Saccharomyces cerevisiae S288C: one gene and its partner. Changing the gene in region 1 together with any one later gene gives a genetic interaction. Each region holds a gene or a part of one and is shown in the gene's direction. Other genes may lie near its edges.

Region 1 (3,755 bases):
TATATAGATAGATATATACTTTAGCCATTGAGATAAGTAGAATAAAAAAACGTTGTAATATTCCGATACAGTTAGTGACATGTTCTCTACTTTTGCCAATTTTTTGCGCACAAAGTGGTGACGTACAAGTTCATCATTTCACGTGTGCAGCATAGTGTGGTATATTGTTTTTTTATATTTTATTTTTTATTTTTTTTTTTTTGCAGAAAACAGTGTTTGTATTATATGCTTTAGATATGCTAAAAAAAATGAAAAAAAATGGAACAAAATATGTGTTTTTTTATTTAACGTTAAAATTAAAGATTAAGTTATTTATTCGACGTCAGCATCAAAAGTTTGACCTTCAACTAACTCTGGAATAGCTTCATCCTTCTTTTCAGCATCAGCTGGAGCCTTGGCTTCGTGCTTTTCCATTTGGGCAGCCAATTGAGACAAGGCTTGGATGGCTTCAGGGCCCAATTGAGAGATAATACCTGGGAACAAATCTTGCAAGTTCTTTTCCTGTGGTAGACCGTAGAATACAGAAGTGTTGTGTTGAGCAGCAACTTGGACACCGACCTTGTTGAAGTGCATGACCTTACCGTCGTCCTTGAAAAAGTTGGCTTCGGCGACGTTGTCAATGGTGACAGCGTGCAACTTAGCTAATTGACTTTGCAACTTGGTGTCATCCTTGTTGGCACCGGCAGAAGAGCCTGCCTTCTTGTTAAGCTTTCTTCTAGTACCACCAACTTTGTTGTTAGCAGACAACTTTTGTAGCTTAGCTAATTTTTCTTGGTCAATTGGCATTATGAATTATGAGTCGCGTCTGGTGTGAGATGTTCTATTCTTAAACCTCCCTAGAAAGAATATTCGCTCTCTTGTGACAAAGGAGGGGTTACTACTTAACAAGCAATTGCAGCTGTTTCCACTACGAAATCTTCCAATGTCAACGAAAAAAATTCAAAAATTTTCTGCTTTTTTTTTCAACATCTGCCGTACTAAATGATTCCACAATAATCCATCATATACCATTACCCTGATTCCCATCGAAGAAAAGGCGGTGTCCCCTTACCCGTCCGCTCATGCCAAGAGATTAATTCATAACCGCTCTTCCTTGGATCAGAAGTGAACATATGAAGTTGCAACTACTACATACTTACTACCGTAGTCCATCATCAAGGACCCAAACATTCACGACTCCAGCGCGCCACGTTCTTCGCCATACTGCTTAACATTTTGGTACGAGTGCGAATTAGGGAAGTCGATGATAAAATAGAATATGCGAAAAAGAGGAAGAGCAGCCGTGAGAAAAAAGAAAAAAAAAGGCCTAAGGTATTCTCTACTCCAAAATCGTCGAGGGAGGGCAAAAGAAATTTTTTTTGTTTAAGGGAATTGCGAAGTCAATTGATTGATGAAGTAGCTTCTCTGGAAAAATGGCGGACAGACGCTGCTCAAATAACCGTCGAAGGGGGAAAGGTTATCGGTGGAAACATATTTGTAAGTACATAATAGTGAATTTACTTCTTGTCGGCGTCCCCTAAACGTAATTGGCGGTGTGATGGTACTTCGTTATATAAAGGTGTGTAATATCCTCTTTTACCATCTATTATTTCTTCCAGCATTTCTTGCTGGATAACCTACTGTATCCAAGCTACTGGGCTTTTTTAAACATACCCATAACTTTTTTTTTTTCATTTTTCGTTGCTGTGTGCTAGTACAATTTAAGCAAAAGGAAACTGTTTTGCGTTATGTCTTCCACTGAAGCAAAGCAATACAAGGAGAAACCCTCGAAAGAGTACCTCCATGCCAGTGATGGCGATGACCCTGCAAATAATTCTGCCGCTTCTTCGTCATCTTCGTCTTCTACATCAACTTCCGCCTCGTCATCGGCTGCAGCCGTTCCACGGAAGGCCGCAGCCGCTTCTGCCGCTGATGATTCTGACTCAGATGAAGATATAGACCAATTGATTGATGAACTACAATCTAACTACGGTGAGGGTGATGAATCTGGTGAAGAAGAAGTACGTACTGATGGGGTGCACGCTGGCCAAAGGGTTGTTCCTGAAAAGGACCTTTCTACGGACCCTGCGTATGGTTTGACTTCGGATGAAGTCGCCAGGAGAAGAAAGAAATATGGGTTAAATCAAATGGCTGAGGAGAATGAATCGTTGATTGTGAAGTTTTTGATGTTCTTCGTAGGGCCTATTCAATTCGTTATGGAGGCTGCTGCTATTTTGGCTGCCGGTTTGTCTGATTGGGTTGATGTCGGTGTCATCTGTGCTTTACTGCTATTAAACGCATCTGTCGGATTTATTCAAGAATTCCAGGCAGGTTCCATCGTAGACGAGCTGAAAAAGACGTTGGCCAATACTGCAACAGTTATTAGAGATGGCCAATTGATCGAAATTCCGGCTAATGAGGTAGTTCCTGGTGAGATTTTGCAATTGGAAAGTGGCACAATTGCTCCCGCAGATGGTCGTATTGTCACTGAAGACTGTTTTTTGCAGATCGATCAATCGGCCATCACTGGTGAATCCTTAGCCGCTGAAAAGCATTACGGTGATGAGGTGTTCTCCTCATCCACTGTGAAAACCGGCGAGGCTTTTATGGTTGTTACTGCCACTGGTGACAATACCTTCGTCGGTAGGGCTGCCGCCTTAGTGGGGCAGGCTTCCGGTGTAGAGGGCCATTTCACTGAAGTATTGAATGGAATTGGTATTATCTTACTTGTTCTAGTTATCGCTACTTTGTTGTTGGTCTGGACCGCATGTTTCTATAGAACGGTCGGTATTGTAAGCATTTTGAGATATACTTTGGGTATAACCATCATTGGTGTCCCAGTCGGTTTGCCAGCAGTTGTTACCACGACCATGGCTGTCGGTGCAGCTTACTTGGCTAAGAAGCAAGCCATTGTTCAAAAGTTATCTGCTATTGAATCCCTTGCTGGTGTTGAGATTTTATGTTCTGACAAGACTGGTACTTTAACCAAAAACAAGTTATCTTTACACGAACCCTACACTGTCGAAGGCGTTTCTCCGGACGACTTGATGTTGACCGCTTGTTTAGCTGCCTCTAGAAAGAAGAAAGGTTTGGATGCTATTGATAAGGCTTTTTTGAAGTCATTGATTGAGTATCCAAAAGCTAAAGACGCCCTGACCAAGTACAAAGTTTTGGAATTCCATCCGTTCGACCCTGTCTCAAAAAAGGTTACCGCTGTTGTAGAATCCCCAGAAGGTGAAAGAATTGTTTGTGTCAAGGGAGCCCCATTGTTTGTCTTGAAGACTGTTGAAGAAGATCACCCAATTCCGGAAGATGTGCATGAAAACTACGAAAATAAGGTTGCTGAACTAGCTTCTAGAGGTTTCCGTGCTTTAGGTGTTGCTAGAAAGAGAGGGGAAGGTCACTGGGAAATCTTGGGTGTTATGCCATGTATGGACCCCCCTAGAGATGACACCGCTCAAACAATCAATGAGGCCAGAAACCTTGGTTTGAGAATCAAGATGTTAACCGGTGACGCTGTTGGTATCGCGAAAGAAACGTGTAGGCAATTAGGACTTGGTACAAACATTTATAACGCAGAAAGGTTAGGTCTGGGAGGTGGAGGTGATATGCCTGGTTCAGAGTTGGCTGATTTTGTTGAAAATGCCGATGGTTTCGCAGAAGTTTTCCCACAGCATAAATACAGAGTCGTTGAAATCTTGCAAAACAGAGGTTACTTGGTTGCTATGACTGGTGATGGTGTTAACGATGCCCCATCTTTGAAGAAGGCTGATACT
Region 2 (3,755 bases), on another chromosome or scaffold:
ATATTCCTTAGAGAAAAAATTAGAGGACACAACTCGTGCGGTTTTAGTTAGGAGAAAGGCACTTTCAACTTTGGCTGAATCGCCAATTTTAGTTTCCGAAAAATTGCCCTTCAGAAATTATGATTATGATCGCGTTTTTGGAGCTTGCTGTGAAAATGTCATCGGCTATATGCCAATACCAGTTGGTGTAATTGGTCCATTAATTATTGATGGAACATCTTATCACATACCAATGGCAACCACGGAAGGTTGTTTAGTGGCTTCAGCTATGCGTGGTTGCAAAGCCATCAATGCTGGTGGTGGTGCAACAACTGTTTTAACCAAAGATGGTATGACTAGAGGCCCAGTCGTTCGTTTCCCTACTTTAATAAGATCTGGTGCCTGCAAGATATGGTTAGACTCGGAAGAGGGACAAAATTCAATTAAAAAAGCTTTTAATTCTACATCAAGGTTTGCACGTTTGCAACATATTCAAACCTGTCTAGCAGGCGATTTGCTTTTTATGAGATTTCGGACAACTACCGGTGACGCAATGGGTATGAACATGATATCGAAAGGTGTCGAATACTCTTTGAAACAAATGGTAGAAGAATATGGTTGGGAAGATATGGAAGTTGTCTCCGTATCTGGTAACTATTGTACTGATAAGAAACCTGCCGCAATCAATTGGATTGAAGGTCGTGGTAAAAGTGTCGTAGCTGAAGCTACTATTCCTGGTGATGTCGTAAAAAGTGTTTTAAAGAGCGATGTTTCCGCTTTAGTTGAATTAAATATATCCAAGAACTTGGTTGGATCCGCAATGGCTGGATCTGTTGGTGGTTTCAACGCGCACGCAGCTAATTTGGTCACTGCACTTTTCTTGGCATTAGGCCAAGATCCTGCGCAGAACGTCGAAAGTTCCAACTGTATAACTTTGATGAAGGAAGTTGATGGTGATTTAAGGATCTCTGTTTCCATGCCATCTATTGAAGTTGGTACGATTGGCGGGGGTACTGTTCTGGAGCCTCAGGGCGCCATGCTTGATCTTCTCGGCGTTCGTGGTCCTCACCCCACTGAACCTGGAGCAAATGCTAGGCAATTAGCTAGAATAATCGCGTGTGCTGTCTTGGCTGGTGAACTGTCTCTGTGCTCCGCACTTGCTGCCGGTCACCTGGTACAAAGCCATATGACTCACAACCGTAAAACAAACAAAGCCAATGAACTGCCACAACCAAGTAACAAAGGGCCCCCCTGTAAAACCTCAGCATTATTATAACTCTTGTAGTTTACATGGTGATACTTTATATCTTTGTATTGTCTAGCTATTCTAAATCATCTGCATGTAATAAGAAGTTGATCAAAATGACTCGCTGCGTAAAACCTCTCTTCGATCGGAGGTGCCGCCTAATTTATCGCCTAGCACTGCGCTTTTTCAAAGTTTTTCAGAGCAAAAAATGAAAAGTAATGAGCACAACAATAGAAGAGTATCATGATATATAAGGTCATAAAACTAGGTTTCAGGGGCTATCGGCAATTTGAGGAACCTTCAACCTGCCTCAAGTAAAAATCGCTTCGTAACATTAATACAAATTCTTTTTGCAATTATGGAAGGAAGATCAGATTTTGTGGCGACTTCACAGTCCGGAAGTGAAATGAGCCATAGTGAAACTAGGAATAGAACTGGGATGAATGCTAGGAAAAGGAAATTCGCCTGTGTGGAATGTCGTCAGCAGAAGTCGAAATGTGATGCTCACGAAAGAGCACCGGAGCCATGCACTAAGTGTGCTAAAAAGAATGTCCCATGCATTTTAAAACGAGATTTCAGAAGAACTTATAAAAGAGCAAGGAACGAAGCCATTGAAAAAAGATTCAAGGAACTCACCAGAACTTTGACAAATTTAACTTCGGATGAAATTTTGAAGAAAATTGAAGAGGAACAGGAAATTGTTTTGGATAACAGTAATTTCACAAAAGAAAAAGTAAAACAACTCAGGAAGAGTGCTTTTGAGACGACAGAAATAGAACCGAGATCATACAAAACACTTCGAGGAGAACCTATTTCTTACAGTACCAACAGAAGACATACGGATTCTTCTCCTTTAACGCTCTTAAGCTCGTCGACAAACTTCGACCCTGTTCACTCAACAAACGTTATGACAGATGATCAACTTAAGTGCTTGCCAAAAAGCCTGGGCGACGTATATTTGTCAAGCAGCGATATTGCTGAGCTGTTTCAAGAATTTGCGACAAAATATCATCAATTTTTACCCGTCGTTGACCTTTCGAAAGGAGCAGAGCGAATTTATCACTTATCTCCTTGCTTATTCTGGGTCATCCTGCTCATTGGTTTAAGGCGGAAATTTGGGGCTACAGACTTAATGACTCGATTATCAGTGCTAGTAAAGTCAGTTTTATCAGAAATCACAATATCTCCAATAATTCGATATACTCCATCAGATAAGGACGAACCCGTTCTAAATGTAGCATCTGTATATTCCGTGCAAGCATTTCTTTTATACACGTTCTGGCCTCCCTTAACCTCTTCATTAAGCGCCGACACTTCGTGGAATACCATAGGAACAGCGATGTTCCAAGCGCTTCGGGTAGGACTAAATTGTGCAGGTTTTTCAAAAGAGTATGCTTCGGCAAATTCAGAATTAGTTAACGAGCAAATACGAACTTGGATTTGCTGCAATGTTGTATCTCAAACAGTTGCATCATCATTTGGTTTCCCAGCTTATGTTTCATTTGATTATTTAGTAATCAGCTCTATTAGAGTACCAAATTCAAAAAGCCAAGTAGATATACCCAATGAACTAAGACAAATGGCTCAAATTGCTAGATTTGAGAACCAAATCGTAAACACAATGAACTCCACCCCGGCGAGTGTTACTGGGATGGTAAGTCAGGAAGAGAAGCAGCCCTTGTTACACGTTCTTAATCAACAACTAAGTCAATTGGAGATTAGTCTTGAAGAAAATAACCTAGATGATATCCGAAAATTTTTATTACTAGTGGCCAAGGTTCACTTATTAACCTATTACTTCACTGATGTTACCTCCCAAAGTGCTGGAAAATCAAATGGTAATATTTATGAGGGATCATATTCCATTATGGAACTCGATACAAGTTTTGAAACGAAACGTGGATTGGTGAAAGTTTATAATGCCGCCGTAAACTTTCTTATACATGCCAATAGTATGTGGGAACATGATCCTACCATTATTAAGTACTTTCCTGGTTTGTTTGTCTTGAATATATGGCAATCTGCCTGTATTATTAGTAAACTCATACATTCATCACTTCATTCAATGCTAGATGTTAACTCAGGCAAAAAAGCTTATAACAACGCAATTTCATTGACGTTTAATGCCTCAGTTTTAAAATATGATATGGCGTACAGATCATCCGGAATAATGCGAAGCATATGGAGTTTATTTGCTAATATGTATGATGCCTGGAAAAACGACCAAAAGGAAGGTGGAGGTAGACTAAATAATGATTTCAATTTAGGCATCACCATAAAATCTAGGATGTCAGTAAACGTTTTTTTTGACTGCTTATATATTCTAAAAGAGAAATGTGGTATGGCCAAATTGGAGAGAGAGACCAAGGTTTCTACAGCTTACAATGTTGATGAAGAGGAAGAGGAAGATGAAGATGAGGAGGGAGAAGAAGAAGAAGAAGAAGAAGAACTAAGTAGTAAAGTTCCAGAAAATATGGATAGCCAGCAACTAAGGACAAGGAAATTCACCAATGTAAGGCATCCAGAAAAG

The links. Genes that interact genetically often act in the same process or in processes that back each other up.
Region 2: mutations in PMA2 (region 1) and LEU3 together harm fitness more than expected from each alone (negative genetic interaction), as found in Saccharomyces cerevisiae (2 studies listed by BioGRID).

What each region holds. Positions count from the first base shown.
Region 1 is NC_001148.4:481,116-484,870, forward strand, and holds the start of PMA2 (H(+)-exporting P2-type ATPase PMA2), read left to right. Parts: upstream 1-1,727; coding exon 1,728-3,755. Other genes in the region: EGD1 (Egd1p), read right to left, coding at 313-786. UniProt on the Saccharomyces cerevisiae protein: The plasma membrane ATPase of plants and fungi is a hydrogen ion pump. The proton gradient it generates drives the active transport of nutrients by H(+)-symport. The resulting external acidification and/or internal alkinization may mediate growth responses.
Region 2 is NC_001144.5:1,034,510-1,038,264, forward strand, and holds the start of LEU3 (leucine-responsive transcriptional regulator LEU3), read left to right. Parts: upstream 1-1,583; coding exon 1,584-3,755. Other genes in the region: hydroxymethylglutaryl-CoA reductase (NADPH) HMG2, read left to right, coding at 1-1,255. UniProt on the Saccharomyces cerevisiae protein: Factor for control of RNA levels of a group of leucine-specific genes.